Mytilus edulis: one gene and its partner. The protein of the gene in region 2 purifies or fractionates together with the protein of the main gene of each other region. This does not show direct contact. Links are inferred from orthologs where the notes say so. Each region holds a gene or a part of one and is shown on either strand. Other genes may lie near its edges.

Region 1 (7,514 bases), on a different chromosome or scaffold from region 2:
TTTGAATTCCTCACAGAAAAGATTAGCGGAGATGCCTAAAAATCATACCAAATTGCAAGGAATCTTCAATTAGTTAATCTATAACTTTTAAATATACAATTATAATAATAATGTAACTTCAATCATCTATTTATTGAGGATTTTCAATAAAGAACATGAGTCTCACAAACACATAGTTTTAAAAGATTAAAGCTAACAATTTGAAAATTGATTGTATTAAATGTATTTTACATGTCAAATGACATAACTTTGCCATCAAAAGAGACAACTTTCAAACGCTTTACGCTCTTGGGTACATGAATGATCAATTCGTTTTCGTCATTGCTGGAATGCGCTTTTTGGTCCGTCGTGCGCGAACAAGATACATTGCTAATTGTAGGTATATTTTCCTTGTCATCAGATAGATAGGTGTTTTAGGATAAACTCATAAATGAAGTGTCCAGTTATTCTTTTGTAAATTCCTTTGATGGCACTGATAGGTGATTAGAAATCAGTATTAATTATAACAGCAATCATCCTAATCACACACATCTTCAAATAGACTGTCCTTCAAACATGTCAAATAGACTGTCCTTATGCAAATTAAAATGTAAGCTCCGCCCGATCAGTTGAAATGACATTGGTAATACATCCCTCACAAACCATGCTTTGACCTTCCCATCCCTTAAAAAAATAGATATGGACAATGCTCTCTCTCTCATAATTCTTTTTAGAATGGCATTAATATTTTATATTATTGTATGTATTCGTGTATTATGTTATGTATTGTAATATTAATGGTGAGACATAAATAAACTATTTGTATTGTATTTTGTTGTTGCTCCCCCTTTCTTCTCTGCCATATGAATGAGTTAAGTTCTACATATTTTAGATTTCACATTTTTTGTAATTAAGATATATCAATAAAAAATATATATATATTTAATGAAATGACATTTACAAATGTCACTTTAGACCAGGCTTTTATTCATCATTGATTTTTAGCTGAATCTCACACATGACCTTTGGATACATGTATTATGAAGTAACAGTTAGCACATGTGCTTGACATTTTAAAGTTAACAAACATAATGTAAAATGTCAACACAAATAAACAATAAGTAACAACATGCTATCATAAATCATAAATTTTGAAAATAGTCATACAAAAAATGAAATAAATATCATTTGGCCAATGAAATGGCTGACCTGTTGTTCTACATGTATGTCATTTGGTCTCTGGTTGAGAGTTGTCCCGTTGGCATTCATACCACCTTTACATATCTATATATCATACATGTCTATTGAATATTGTAATAATTTCATCAAAGAATAACCAATATTTCTTATTAAGTGTAACCTGTAACAATTTTCTTAGTTAACTGAAAAAGAATCACACTATAAAAAGTTGCACATTTATCCCACATTTGATAAATGTACATGTAGGGAAAGAAGTCACATATCTGATACTAAGGAAAAAATGTTCATTTCTGTACAAATGTTTTAAAGTATGATGGTATTTTTTGTTCTCTCTCATTCTTTTTTAAAGTTATATGAATAAAATTGAGAATGGAAATGGGGAATGTGCCAAAGAGACAACAGTCCGACCATAGAAAAAAACAACAGCAGAAGGTCACCAACAGGTCTTCAATGTAGCGAGAAATTCCCACACCCGGAGCATTGATTGATAATTTACTTTTTTTTTATTGAAAGGAAATTGAAGCCAGTTATCATATGGTTAATAAGTAAATAACTACATTAGATGTATATTTCATTATAAAACATTATTCTGATTGACTACACTGCAAGACGCATTATTCGTTAATCAACTTCATTACACAATAAAATTTATCAGTCATTGACGACACGAGGTCCCACAATAAAGTGTACCTGTAGATAAATTAAATAAAAACTTGATAAAAATTGTGTTTTCATGATCCTCGTTAAAAAAAATGTAGCCATAAAGTATGAATACTTCTTTTTGTAACTTCATAGGTGTGTAAAAGCGTTGACTGTGTGCACATTTTTAGAATGACAAAATGTACTTTGGTCAACGCTTTTACACCCCATTGAAGTTACAAAAAGAAGCATTCAATTCTTAAATAAACATTTAATGAATTCTTTAGAAAACTTGACATTAACATGGAATGCATTTGTAAGTAACCTTTGAAAATTTATTCAATTGCAATAAACACAAATATTGTATAATATCATGTCTCTGGTGACTTCACGCTAAACTTTTGAGTTCACATGAAGCCCAAAGCTATTAAAATTCTGAAAATTTTAGTTGATTCTGTTGGCTTGACGAAAAGAATTTTACAAGCCTGACAGCAATTATACAAAAGGGATCGTAGGACTTCTAATAAAGAGTGAAGATGGTAAATAAAATCAAAACTAAATAACAACAATCTAACAAAATAAATATATATATATATATATATATATATATTTCAAATTTGACATTATTTTGTTTTCTCTGGGAACAGTATATACGTTCCTGGTTTTTTTTTAAAGTAGTGAAATTTCCAGGAAATAGTCCTGTGACCTGTTTTTACCACTGACTTCTTTTCAAAACTTTTTTTATTTCAGTAACCCCTCCCCCTTTTTGACATTCATTATGAGCACCTCCCCCTTTTTTCCAACAAAACAACAAAATCATCAAACCTTGCATGCTAGTTACATTGTACTTGTAGCTCCACATATTCTCCTACGATTTGACAACATGTCAACATACAGAACGTTTTACAGCGTTGTCAAAAATTAATTTTACTTTATAATTTAGAGAATTACTCATCACTCTTACAACTAATGACTATCTATCTATTTCCCCTGTCTGCTTACCCTGAATCCACGAACTGACAGTTCCACGCAGAATTCTTCATTTTCCTTCGTTTCCAAATTAAGATATACTAGTTCATTGGTGCTTGGTAAATTGGGAGATATTATAACAAACTTCACAGCGTATGCCACTTCTTTAACAACTTCTTCTGCTTCTATACGAAGTGTATGTTCATCTTGATCCATTACAAATGGGAGATAACTCTATTACTCTAAATACCAAAAGGGAGATAATAATTTTATTTTCCATACTTAATTTTTCTCAGTAAATTGTACTTGTCTAAAACAGAATGTTGTTTGTGTTTATCATGCAATTTGTTAATAATTAAAGTTGATTCAATAATTAGAATGCATATAAGACCTATGAATAGTCCCAAGTGAGGCCAAGTCCAGGGGCGGATGCAGGAATTTTCAAAAGGGGGGGGGGGGGGTGGGGGGGGGGGGGTGCTAACCCAGGGCACCCAGGGCAAAGGGGGGGGGGGGGTGCAAAACATATGTCCCGATACAAATGCATTGATCGGCAAAAATAAAGGGGGGGTGCGCACCCCCGGAAACCCCCGCCCCCCCTGGATCCGCCACTGAAGTCAAAAATCAATTTATAGCAGCACGTTAAAAAAAAGGCACTGGCTACGGTTACATGGAAATGTAACAATAATAAAGATATTATTGTTACATTGGAGACTAAATGCCGGAATGCATGGTTGGGTAAGGATCTGTTTAATTACGAATGTAACAATAATTATTGAGGCTACGGTTACATAGCGCTATTGTTACATGAAAAACAGCTGTACGATGGGACTAGTAATATGTACTAAATAATAAAAATGAAGACATTTATTTTATATTTACAATACATACATTTATTACATACAATTTATTTACTGTAATTTTTTATTTACACTGACACTTTCTACAAATCAAGTAAGTGGTTTTTAAAGTCCGACACATTTTCGATGAACGAAATTACGTCCTCTACGGTTACGTGTACATACAGAAGTTCTTAGTATTTAAGTTACAGTTAGCAAACTTTTCTTTTGATGTATCAATTTGGGTCAAGTTGTATAGCTGTATGAAATTTATGTCTTGATTTTGTTTAAGTTTCGCCGGTTTAAAACGCATCCCATTTTTAAAAGTTTTTCACCCTAACAAAATGGTTTAAAGTATAATTGACAGTAATAAGAGTAGGTGTGCAGTTAAATACTTTTAAAAAGTGAAACCATTGAACTATATGTTTCGCCTTTGACACTCATAATCTTGAGTAGTATCATTAAGAACATCAAAACCATTAATACGTAAATATATTCAGGTTATACACCATTTGATTGTTGAATAATAATATTTATTATTTATCAGTATTACAAGTATTGTTTAGTACATATGAAAGAATTAAGCAAAACAACTACAGAAGATTTAAGTTTAATAAATCTAGCGTACATTGCTGTTTTTCATGTAACAATAACGTAATCTAACCGTAGCCTCAGTAATTATTGTTACATTCGTAATTAATCGGTTCCTCACCCAACTTTGCATTCCGGCAATTAGTCTCCAATGTAACAATAATATTTTTATTATTGTTACATTTCCATGTAACCGTAGCCAGTGCCTAAAAAAAACCACTTTAATAGACACTGAATCTAACCAGCGACATATAATACAACAATAATTCTCTGATCTAACTATCTATTAAAACATCTATATGTAGTCTGTTTATGTCTCTCAGCTGCCGTCTAACTGTACAAAGAAAATAAAAGATTTTTAGAGAAAGGTGAATTAAGCCGGCTTATGTTGGGCCAACTGAGTTGATTCACCGAGCAGTGGATATTGTATTCAAGTCTAACCGGAATGAGAAAAATTTATTATCGTTTTGGAATTTGTTAAATAATAGTATAATTGCAATTATACAACATTTCCCAATTCTTATATAACAAATCCGTTTTTATAAGAATTGCTTGATGTTATTGGCGCAAAACTGTTACTTGGAAATATATCAAATATGGATATTGAAAAACCAATGACAATGGAAATCACCATTTGTAAACCAGCAATTTGACGATTACGAGATTGTAACCTTATCACATGCACATACTCTACAGAGTACTCTCTCTATTTCTTTATATATTAGGTATCGTGCAGTATGATGATAACGAGAGAATTTAAATGCATGTAAACCTCGCTTGAAATTCACGTGAGTTTCACCTCAATCGAGCTTATACGTGAATCTCATCATGACATGTGAAACTCACGGGAAATTAACTTGAAAATCACGAGAATTTCTTTTATGTGAAATTCACGTATTTTTTTTTTTAAATTAAGTTAGGGTAAATAGCTTCTAAATTTTCAAATGTAATCAAAATCATGGAAAATAGCATCTAAATTTTCAAATGTATTCAAAATCATGGAACATAGCATCTAAATTTTCAAATGTAATTAAAATCATGGAAAATAGCATCTAAATTTTCAAATGTAATTAAAATCATGGAAAATACCAATTTTTTTAAAAGTTCGCCTTAAATTTTAAACGTGAACAATTTACGTGATTCAATTCACGTGAAATTCACATGAAAGTCTTCACGTGAGCTTAATGTTTAACTTGAGCTCGTTTGAGTTGAACTTCATATGATATTCATGTGAAATTCACTTTAGCAAAATTTTGCCTGTGTATACTAGGCAACAAAAACTACTGGTAGGTGGTAATTCAAAAACAGAGGTAAAATTAGTTATTTAAGCATTACTGTTTTAAATACTTTTAGAGAGACGAAAGATACCAAAAATTAAAATAACTAAAATACTGAAAGACTTTCAAATTCAAAATCAAACTGACAATGCCTTGGCAAAAAATGAAATCGAACAAAAGAAAAACAAATGCCTATAAATTGATACGCACCATAGAAAATAAACTGAGCAACACGTCAGTAAAATTTCTTATTGTCATGGTTTAATTTATAATTATTAACATTAAGGAAAGATACATATTGTAGTGCATTTCGACAATCAATGTTCCTTCAATGATACTCAAAGACAAAATACATGTATGTGAAAAGCCAACGTAACCTTAAACAAACCGTGAAGAGCTGATAAAACCAAAGATTGATTGATTGTTGGTTGCTAAACGTCCAGTGGCAAATATTTCATGCATGTTCAGGACGAGAACAAGTTAACAATAAATACAATTGGTAGGTCTTGTAATAATAACCAAAGAGGACCAATAATAAATCCAAAACCGAATAAGGAATAAAATATATTTATTACAGATATATAATACCTCAATTAAAAACGATTTTCAAAATTATATATATTGTATGTAACAGCAAATTACAAATTTTATACCAGTACCGAAGTTGTCGCCACTTATGATAGACTCGGTGCGGAGACTAATAGTCTACAAGCAGAGGTATCAACCCAGTGGTATCGACCATAAACGGTACTAATTTTAAAATACACCATATTCTCATTTCGACAATCAATGTCTTTTCAGTGATGCTCGAGGTCAAAATGAAAAATAAAATAATTCAAGAGGTAATCACATGGTAATTATGAGGGACTATTCTTTAAATAACTATTACTCATTTAATTATTTGAATTCAGATTATTTATCTGGTCGGAGTGTTAGGGTCAAAGTCGTTATAATTTTAATCTTACGAAAGATCTTTCCAAAGTTACAGCGTAAATATTTACGGAACACTGAAATATTGTGTGTTGTAATAAGTGATTGATTCAGTTTCTTTTCTCACCTTGTCTGCTAAAGAACACCATAATGGACATTCTTTACCTTTTTACGGATGTTCATTAATATCGATTTGTAAACAAACACCATAGCTTGTGGAAATCTACCATGCATATGTGTTGAAGACATACTTATTTCTAAGTATTACCAACCATTACACTACGCAACTGGCTAACCATATGACGGTGTGTAATATCTGGCATGAAAAGTAAAAGTTTTAACAATATCAATATAAATTGGTGGTGAACAGCAAATGAAGAGACTTAACGATATGACTGAGGTCATGATACCAGCTTTGTATACAGAATGCAGTGGTTGGAACCCCCCTTTTTTGGACGATCAATGCATTTGAATGGGGACATGTAGTTGAAACCCCCCCTTTTTTGTCCTTGGTTAGGAACCTCTCCCCTTTTTAAAAGGCTGAATCCGCCCCTGGAATGGGTGGTATATATTATGTTTTATGCGCAAGAACGTCTGTAAGGAGTTTATTTACATGGTTTTTGCGTTCAAAATTCTATTAGAAGTAAAAAGCATGCATTTTTATATTGAGACCACTTTTTATGTTTTAGGACAGTCATATCTGACACAGTTTTCATTTTATCGTTCTACCAATTCATATTAATAGGTAATCGTCACTATATTACTGCTGCTCTTTCTTCATCTCTTTCGCATTTGATATGATACAGAACTCATAGTTGTCCTTTGTAGTTGGCATTGATATTGACAACTCCCTTTTGACAAGACTGTATTATATAGTCTCGTCAGTTTTTCTCTTCAAACTCGTAAATATATTTCCATATCAAGGATCACTAAAAAAAAAACCCGTTTGGCATACAGTACCCGGCCAAACGTATTCGTCATCTGCACTTTTTTGCCATTTATTTCATATAAAAACATATTTTTTCAAAAAAATAATATTTTTAAGACATTTATGGATGGATTTTTATCAACATTGCTTTAAAAGACGTATAAT
Region 2 (7,837 bases):
TGGAAACAAACTTTTTTTTCCAAAAAAAAACCATAGCCCCCCCCCCCCCCCCCCCCAGAAAATCAAATGGTTGCTGCCTAAACCCTATGTGAAGTTGAAAATCTTAGAAGAAATAATTGATATGAGAAGTTTCAGTGTGCTTTTATTTCTATAGTTGGATGTGATATTAGTGCATTTAATCAATTGTCATTAAAATACCTGAAAGCAATTACAAGCTAGTTTGCCTGTTGTGTTCCTTGGCATAGAATTAATGCAATTTTATCCTGTTAGTTTAAATTCCTAAGTATACATCTATTAACACAAATATTGAAATAAGAAGAAAAGGTACAATTAATTAAGGGCTCGTGAGAACATGTTCCCCATTCAGTTGAGCTCACATTATTTAGCGAAGCTCTTTTTGCAATTGTTTCAAAATCATAGAGACTCTCTTAGTTGGATGTTTAATGGTAATGGTGTGACCATGTCAATGGATCTATGCATTGTATATCACTATCATGTCGAGCCAGTTCTTGCAAAGTTCTCGTCCCTCTGCGCTTAAGGACTTAAGGGCATACGATACAGTTTTGATCCCGTATTTACATTTTGATACAAATTGCCATATAGACTATATTTTACCTGATTAAATCAAATATGTAATAAACAAGAATGTGTCCATAGTACACGGATGCCCTACTCCCACTATCATTTTCAATGTTCAGTGGACCGTGAAATTGGCATTAAAATTAGAAAGATCATATCATGGGGAACATGTGTACTAAGTTTCAAGTTGATTGGACTTTAACTTCATTAAAAACTACCTTTACCAAAAACTTTAACTTGAAGCGGGACGAACGGATAGACGGACGGACGAACTAATGAACGAACGAACGAACGCACAGACCAGAAAACATAATGCCCCTCTACTATCGTAGGTGGGGCATAAAAATATGCCTTCATGTGCTACTTTTTGTGTAAAATGAGGTCGTAATTGTGTATATTTGCTCAAAATTCGGATTTGTGGCCGTATTTTCCCTTTCGAAAGAAAGACATAACTTTTCATGTTTTAAAAGATAAACACAAATTGAAAAAAAAACCATAGAGACTCTCTTAGTGGGATGTTTAATGGTAATGGTGTGACCATGTCAATGAATCTATGCATGGTATATCACTATCATGTTGAGCCAGTCCTTGCAATGTTCTCGTCCTTCTGCGCTTAAGGACTTAAGGGCATACGATACAGTTTTGATCCCGTATTTACATTTTGATAACAATTTACATATAGACTAAATTTTACCTGATTAAATCAAAAATTTAATAAAAAATATACCTTCATGTGCTGCTTTTTGAGTAAAATGAGGTCGTAATTTTGTATATGTGCACAAAATTCGGATTTGTGGCCGTTTTTTTCTTTCGAAAGAAAGACATAACTTTTTATGTTTTAAAAGATAAACACAAATTGGTTTTTTTTTGTTAAATAATTTGTAATTTCTGTATTTTATAAGTATCCGAAAAATGTATACATTTTTTATTCAAAAATAACTCATATTCATCAAATATTCATGTAGAAAAAAACATCATGTTTTGCTGTTTATTTATCAAATTAAAAAAAATATGCACTAAAAATTTACGTTTTCATGAAAATTGGCACACCTAATCTTCTCGCTTAATCGAACCAAATGGAATTTAAAAAAAGGGGTCTAATGAACTCGTTTTCAAGTTAAATAAGTTTGAATGATAAAAATCAGTCGAAAACTGAATCTTTTCCCAATAAGTCATATATATAGTTTGACGTCGCGAAAATAACAATTTACGTTAGCAACGTCATTACCTCCCCTGTAACTGTATCATATGCCCTTAAGAACTATGAGGACTGTAACGCCCTTTTACTTTTTCCTTTCTATCCTAGAAGTAGGTGTTATACTCTGGGGGATTTGTAGTTAATATTTGTAACCATTTTTTTCATTATCATTACATCTGACGTTTGTGATTTTTGCTTGTTTTGCAGCTGATGTTTCGTTTTTTAGCTCACCTGGCCAAGTGAGCTTTTCTCATCACTTGGCGTCAATCGTCCGTCGTCGTTAACTTTTACAGAAATCTTCTCCTCTGAAACTACTTGACAAAATTTAACCAAGTTTGGCCACAATCATCGTTATGGTATTTAGTTTAAAAATATGTCCGGTGACCCGTCCAACCAACAAAGATGGCCGCCGTGGCTAAAAATAGAACATATGGGGTAAAATGTAGATTTTGGCATATATCTCTGAAACCAAAGCATTTAGAGCATATCTGTTAGAGGTAAATCGCTTATCAGGTCAAAATCTATCTTTCCTCAAATTTTCAGATGAATCGGACAACCCGTTGTTGGGTTGCTGCCCTTGAATTGGTTAAATTAAGGAAATTTTGCCTTTTTGGTTATTATCTTGAATATTATTATAGATAGAGATAAACTGTAAAAAGCACTAATGTACAGCAAAGTGAGACCTTCAAAGAAGTCATCATAATCAAAATGGTCAATTGATCCCTTAAAGAGTTATTGTCCTTTATAGTAATTTTTTTTAACAATTTTCATAAATTTTGTAAATGTGTAAATTTTACAAAATATTTTAACTACTGGGATAGATTCATAGGTTCATTATAAATAGAGATAATTGTAATTAGCAAGAATGTTCAGTAAAGTAAGACCTGCAAACACATCACCATCAACAAAACACAATTTTGTCTTGAATCCATCTGTGTCCTTCGTTTATTATGTATATATGCACATAGACCAAGGTGAGCGACACAGGCTCTTTAGAGCCTCTAGTTTGAGTTTTCATTTTCTTGTTCGGGTGCTGTACTGATGTCCAGTGAAGTTTCTAGAAGTGAGTAAAAGCTGTTATAATATTTTTTAAGCTGTCGAGCTGTAAACTTAATGAATTTTGAAATTATTATAAAACTAAGGTTTCAACTCCCTCAGGCAAAGTTGGCTTTAGATGAATTTGGCTATTTATTTTAGGTATTTTTGACATATTGCTCTTCAACGATTTTCGGTACTTATCCATCTTCGGATTTCAAATGTTTGGCTTTGAGCGTTCCTGATGAAGGTAAATCCAGAAAAGCGCTTCGGACGCAATAAATTATTAAACGTGTTGTTTTCCATTTTTTAATGAATTGCGGTCTGAATGGGTTGCCACAACTAAAACAATTCCACCTTTCATAGATGTTACCACCATACTCGATACCCTTATGTCCAGTGGCGGATTCAGAAATTTTCATAAGTGGGGCCCACTGACTGCCTAAGAGGGGGCCACTCCAGTCACGCTTCAGTGATTCCCTATATAAGCAACCCATTTTTTTCCCAAAAGGGGAGCCCCCTGCCCCTCCCCCTTAATCCGCCTCTGATGTCTTGGCAATTGATAAGAAACCATTTGTCTTTTTTTTAAATGAGTTATTAAATTTATTATTTTAAATAGCTGACTGGAGACCATTTAATATAATGTGAGACCTCTAAATCAATATTGGAGTTTATTACCTAGAATATTAAAACATTTTTCATCCATAATTTATTTTTTCTTATTTTTCTGAGTTAACATTTGAAGCATTCTTGAAATAGTCATACTTTTGATCCGAGTAAACTATTTGAAACATCATTCCAGTCAGCTAAGAGGTATTTTTGAAAATTTAATTCTGTTTTGTCATTATGTTTGTGTATGCGTTGCTTTGTTTGAATGCAATATATTTGACCTTGTTTTGTGGAGAGGGCTTACATAGGCTATGCCTGTTGTCCAATCCAATTCAATTTATTTGAATAAAATATTGTTTAAACTAAACTAAACCATTTGTCACAAATTTCGAATCCATGACCCTGTCGTCTAAGGTCACACGCAGGTTAGACGTTCCACATTGGTATAAGCACTATATAAATGATGTTGCCATTATTTCACGTGTTGGTACTTGGACTGACTTTATTCTGCATTTGCTAGTAGTATGAAAAGTAAATATAATTGTCAAAAGAGACACAAAAATAATATAAAAGCAAATTCCATCTAAAGCTAACTTTGCTTGAGTGAGTAAGAGTTTTCCAATCTTTTCGGCCTGCATGATGGTATACGTACTTGCCTTAAATCTGTTGATCCTCGTTAGGTAGGTAAGGATTTTTATTTTATTTTATGGTGTTTTTTTTTATACATTGAGTCTATGGGAGCAACATTCCGACGAGTGACTTTTCAAAATAGAGTTTAATGAAAAATGACAAATAAATCTTTAGGGTAGGCTATTATTTAGACTAAAAAGTAGGGTAGGTAGGGTAACTGGAATGACAAATATAATTTTGTTTGGCCTAAGTAAAACCAACAGATGCCAAATTAGACAAAATGCAAAATCACGAAAGAATTTCAACTTTTATGCCAAAAAAGTACATCAACCTCAGATTGCTTCAGGGGCGGCATCCAGTCGTGTTCAAAAAGGGGTTCCAACCATTATTTCCCAATTCAAAAGTATTGATCGTAAAAAAAATAAGATGTGTTCACCCCTGACCCTCCTTTTTTAAGTGGTCCACCACTAAACCTCTAAATGTTATATACTGAGGATGGGAAATATAAGGTTGAGGTCGAAATTTTGAGGGGGAAACATCTACATGGAATTTGTATATGTATTTCAATTTCAAATTTGATTATCAAGTTGCAAAATCAAGAAAAATAAAACCTTTTCTCAGTAATAATTAGTTCTAATAAAAAAAATTATCCTTAATGTGCCTCCTTTTAACGTCATACGTCAACTGTCTCGTGTTGCATATTTTACGAGTACGGAAAGTGCCGAACAAGCTAATTCTGGTGTGTGATTGGTTAAAAATTGTATTCTCGTGATATCACGAAGATTCACGGCCATGTTCTCGCCCGTCATTGTAGATCACCCATTGGAAACCAAATTTGCATTAACATTGTGCTATCGATTAACAAATCGGGTTGAATAATAGTGGAAATAGAACCCTTTAACTCATTTAAATGTGCCCATATATTCTTCATTGAATTTTGATGGAAAAAGACATATGTAATAAGTGAATACTGGACTTAAAAGTGAATATAAACCTTCGTTTATCTTGATTTCCTTGGAATATTTACGAGCGCCATTTGGGAGATGTGACTGACAGGCTACATCTAAGAATATCAGTTTTAATGACTTTTAATCCTTCTAGATCATGAGTGGACGTCCCAGAACAACGTCCTTTGCTGAAGGAAATAAAGCCGGATCGACTGCACCTTACGGCGGAATGAGAACAATAAGTAGGTATCCTCCATCAGTTGCAGTACCGAATTGGGTCATCACACAATCAACATGGCGACCAAGAAATTGCTAATGATTTCCATTTACAGCTACATAAATTTAAGTTTCTGCATTTAACATTTTACCCATACGATTTCCCTTTCATTATACACATTGGTTTGAAACCACGTTGTCAACAGCCAAGTCTGAACAACTGCACATCGCATGACTAACTGATATAATATGAAAAAGTGATTCACAATATAAAAATTGCATCCAAGGCACTGACCTACCCCAATAATAACCTATATACATGTGCTGCAAGATGAAAAGTATAATATAAAAGAATTTGCAGCTATCAGTGCTGTGTCAAACAATTATTTCATGCTGTAATAAGTCAATATAAGACAGGTGTGAAAAAGATTACATGGGGGCGATAAACAAGGACAAAATTATTCACTGTCTAAAAGAATCCAATCCTTGCTACAAATTGTAGAATGAAAAAAATGTCTCCAAAAGATGTCATCAGGGCTTTTCATTTAAGCCGGTAGCCGGCGGAAATCGCCGTTTGCATTGGTTTCAAGTGCCGGCTACTTCACTGACAAAAATATAAATTAAAAAAGACAAAAATATCTTTTTCAAATGTTTACAAGCAGCCGAGAGACGTATTGTCGCAAAGTCGCGGTCACGATAAACAAGGATGAGAAGTCAGTGTTTACCTTGGGCTAAATATAGTTCACATGAATTCAGGTCACTGATTGGCTGTCTATTTAAAGTCAGAATGCATCGTTTCTTTTCAAAGATAACAAGAGAGACGTTCCGGTGGTCATTGAACGATAACAATAGAGACGTTCCGATGGTCATTAACTCGTTGGCTTTTTTTTTGGCTTATAAAACGTGAAGACAATCAGATAGGATGACAATCTTATGTTATGGAATAATAGCAGTCAAATTAAAGAAAATACAGTAGATCAATTTGTTCAGAATCTGGAAAACAGTATCTTTTGAAGTTCATTTTTCAAAACCCACGTGGTGTTCAGAGAATCAAGGTCAAAAACGAAAGTAGAATATTGTCGACTCGACCACAAATAAATAACATTTCCAAATGATTTATGTATCCCGACTTATTGAACAGTATACAAAAAAGCGAAAATCAGAGGATATATCAATTTTCTGTCAATTTGAGAAATAATTGTATGATTTAAATACGTGTAACAGTCTTTATAGAGAAAAGGTGGGTCATTTGTTTACAAATGCACGTAGTTATGCAAAATAAATCAATCAAGATTTCTAACAAACCAAATTATTATAAAAATAAAACTCCTTTAAAAGTAAATGAATTTTAAGCATAAGGTAATAAAATAAAAAACTATAACATAAAAAAAATGAAATATCTTTGAGATTTTTTTTTTCTTTAATTTCATACATAAAAAATGGTCATTTGAAAGATGATAATAGATGCCAGGAGATTGCTAAAATGCAGGATTTTGCTCTATTTATGCCAGAGCTTCTGGTGGCCTTGAGCGGACCCCAGACCCCCTGCCGTAAGGCACCAAGAGCTTGGTGGGCGTCCGGCTTCGCCGAACGCATGTTACAGTCGCCTATTATTTTAATTGAGCCTTCTACTTCAATTTCAAGGGAAAGCCCTGTGTCAATTTTTTTCCATTTTGACTGAACATGTTTGTCTTGCAACTGGTATCAGGCTGACATGGTTCTTCTTGGTGACTGGGGCAATGACATTGTTTTCCTTCCATTGCACCTTCTTTCTGGATCCTCAAAAGTGATATACATGTACAATTGCCGGGTTGTTCATCACTGATCACAACCAACAGTTGCTCAGCTCTCTTCATCGGGAATTTTTCATTAGAGTTAATTTATCCCCAAAATAACAGGCTTCTCAAAAAAAATATCCAGTACATTTAACTCAATTGTTTTACAGCACAATATGTATGTTGTTTTATCTAGAACTTAATAAGGGCATGGTAATTTATTTATCAAAAGGGCACTTGCGCGTTGCCTACATGTATGCAAAAAAGGGCACATACATAAACTAGTAAGTTACACATACTCAGGGTTTCTCATTTAAAAAGATATATAAATATCTCAGTGACGTCAGGTGCTCCAATTGATAAACAGATCCAGCTCAACATGTGGCACCAGTCATATTGCTCATTTTATTTCAAACCCGGTAAATATTCTAATTGATAGGTCACTTTCGTGAAAATGGAACAGGATTGCAGTTTCCACATAAGGAACATCAAATATCATCTGTGAAACGGATATTCCAGAATGGTCAACCAAATCGTGATGGCATCCTTAAAATTTAAGAAGGGATGATTTAAATTTCATCATTTGGAACTCTTGGTTTAATATCTTCCTAGTTACTGTAACAGCAACCCTCTATCAAGGAAATCATCATAGGAAAAACAAGCCTGGGAATATTGTATCAATTGGGAGATACATATGGACCATAATTTGCTATTGGGCTCCGTTTCCTATAACTAAAGAAAAGTGATAAAATTTGAATTACTGTAAGAAAAGTTGTAACTGCATCTAAAGATGCCATTATTTTTATTAACATACAAGTGTATGCTACTCTTCCCTAGAAAAAAATTTG

Evidence for each region. Proteins that work in one complex are often made in the same cells at the same time.
Region 1: the proteins of glycogen synthase kinase-3 beta-like (region 2) and GSK3-beta interaction protein-like purify together in Drosophila melanogaster (affinity purification with mass spectrometry, with the first as the bait; 3 studies listed by BioGRID). This does not show direct contact. The link is inferred for Mytilus edulis from reciprocal best matches to the Drosophila melanogaster genes sgg and CG11523.

The regions. Positions count from the first base shown.
Region 1 is NC_092353.1:34,109,031-34,116,544, reverse strand, and holds the start of GSK3-beta interaction protein-like, read right to left. Parts: upstream 3,024-7,514; 5' UTR 3,004-3,023; coding exon 2,821-3,003; intron 1-2,820.
Region 2 is NC_092348.1:72,216,437-72,224,273, reverse strand, and holds the start of glycogen synthase kinase-3 beta-like, read left to right. Parts: upstream 1-4,819; 5' UTR 4,820-5,155; coding exon 5,156-5,240; intron 5,241-7,837.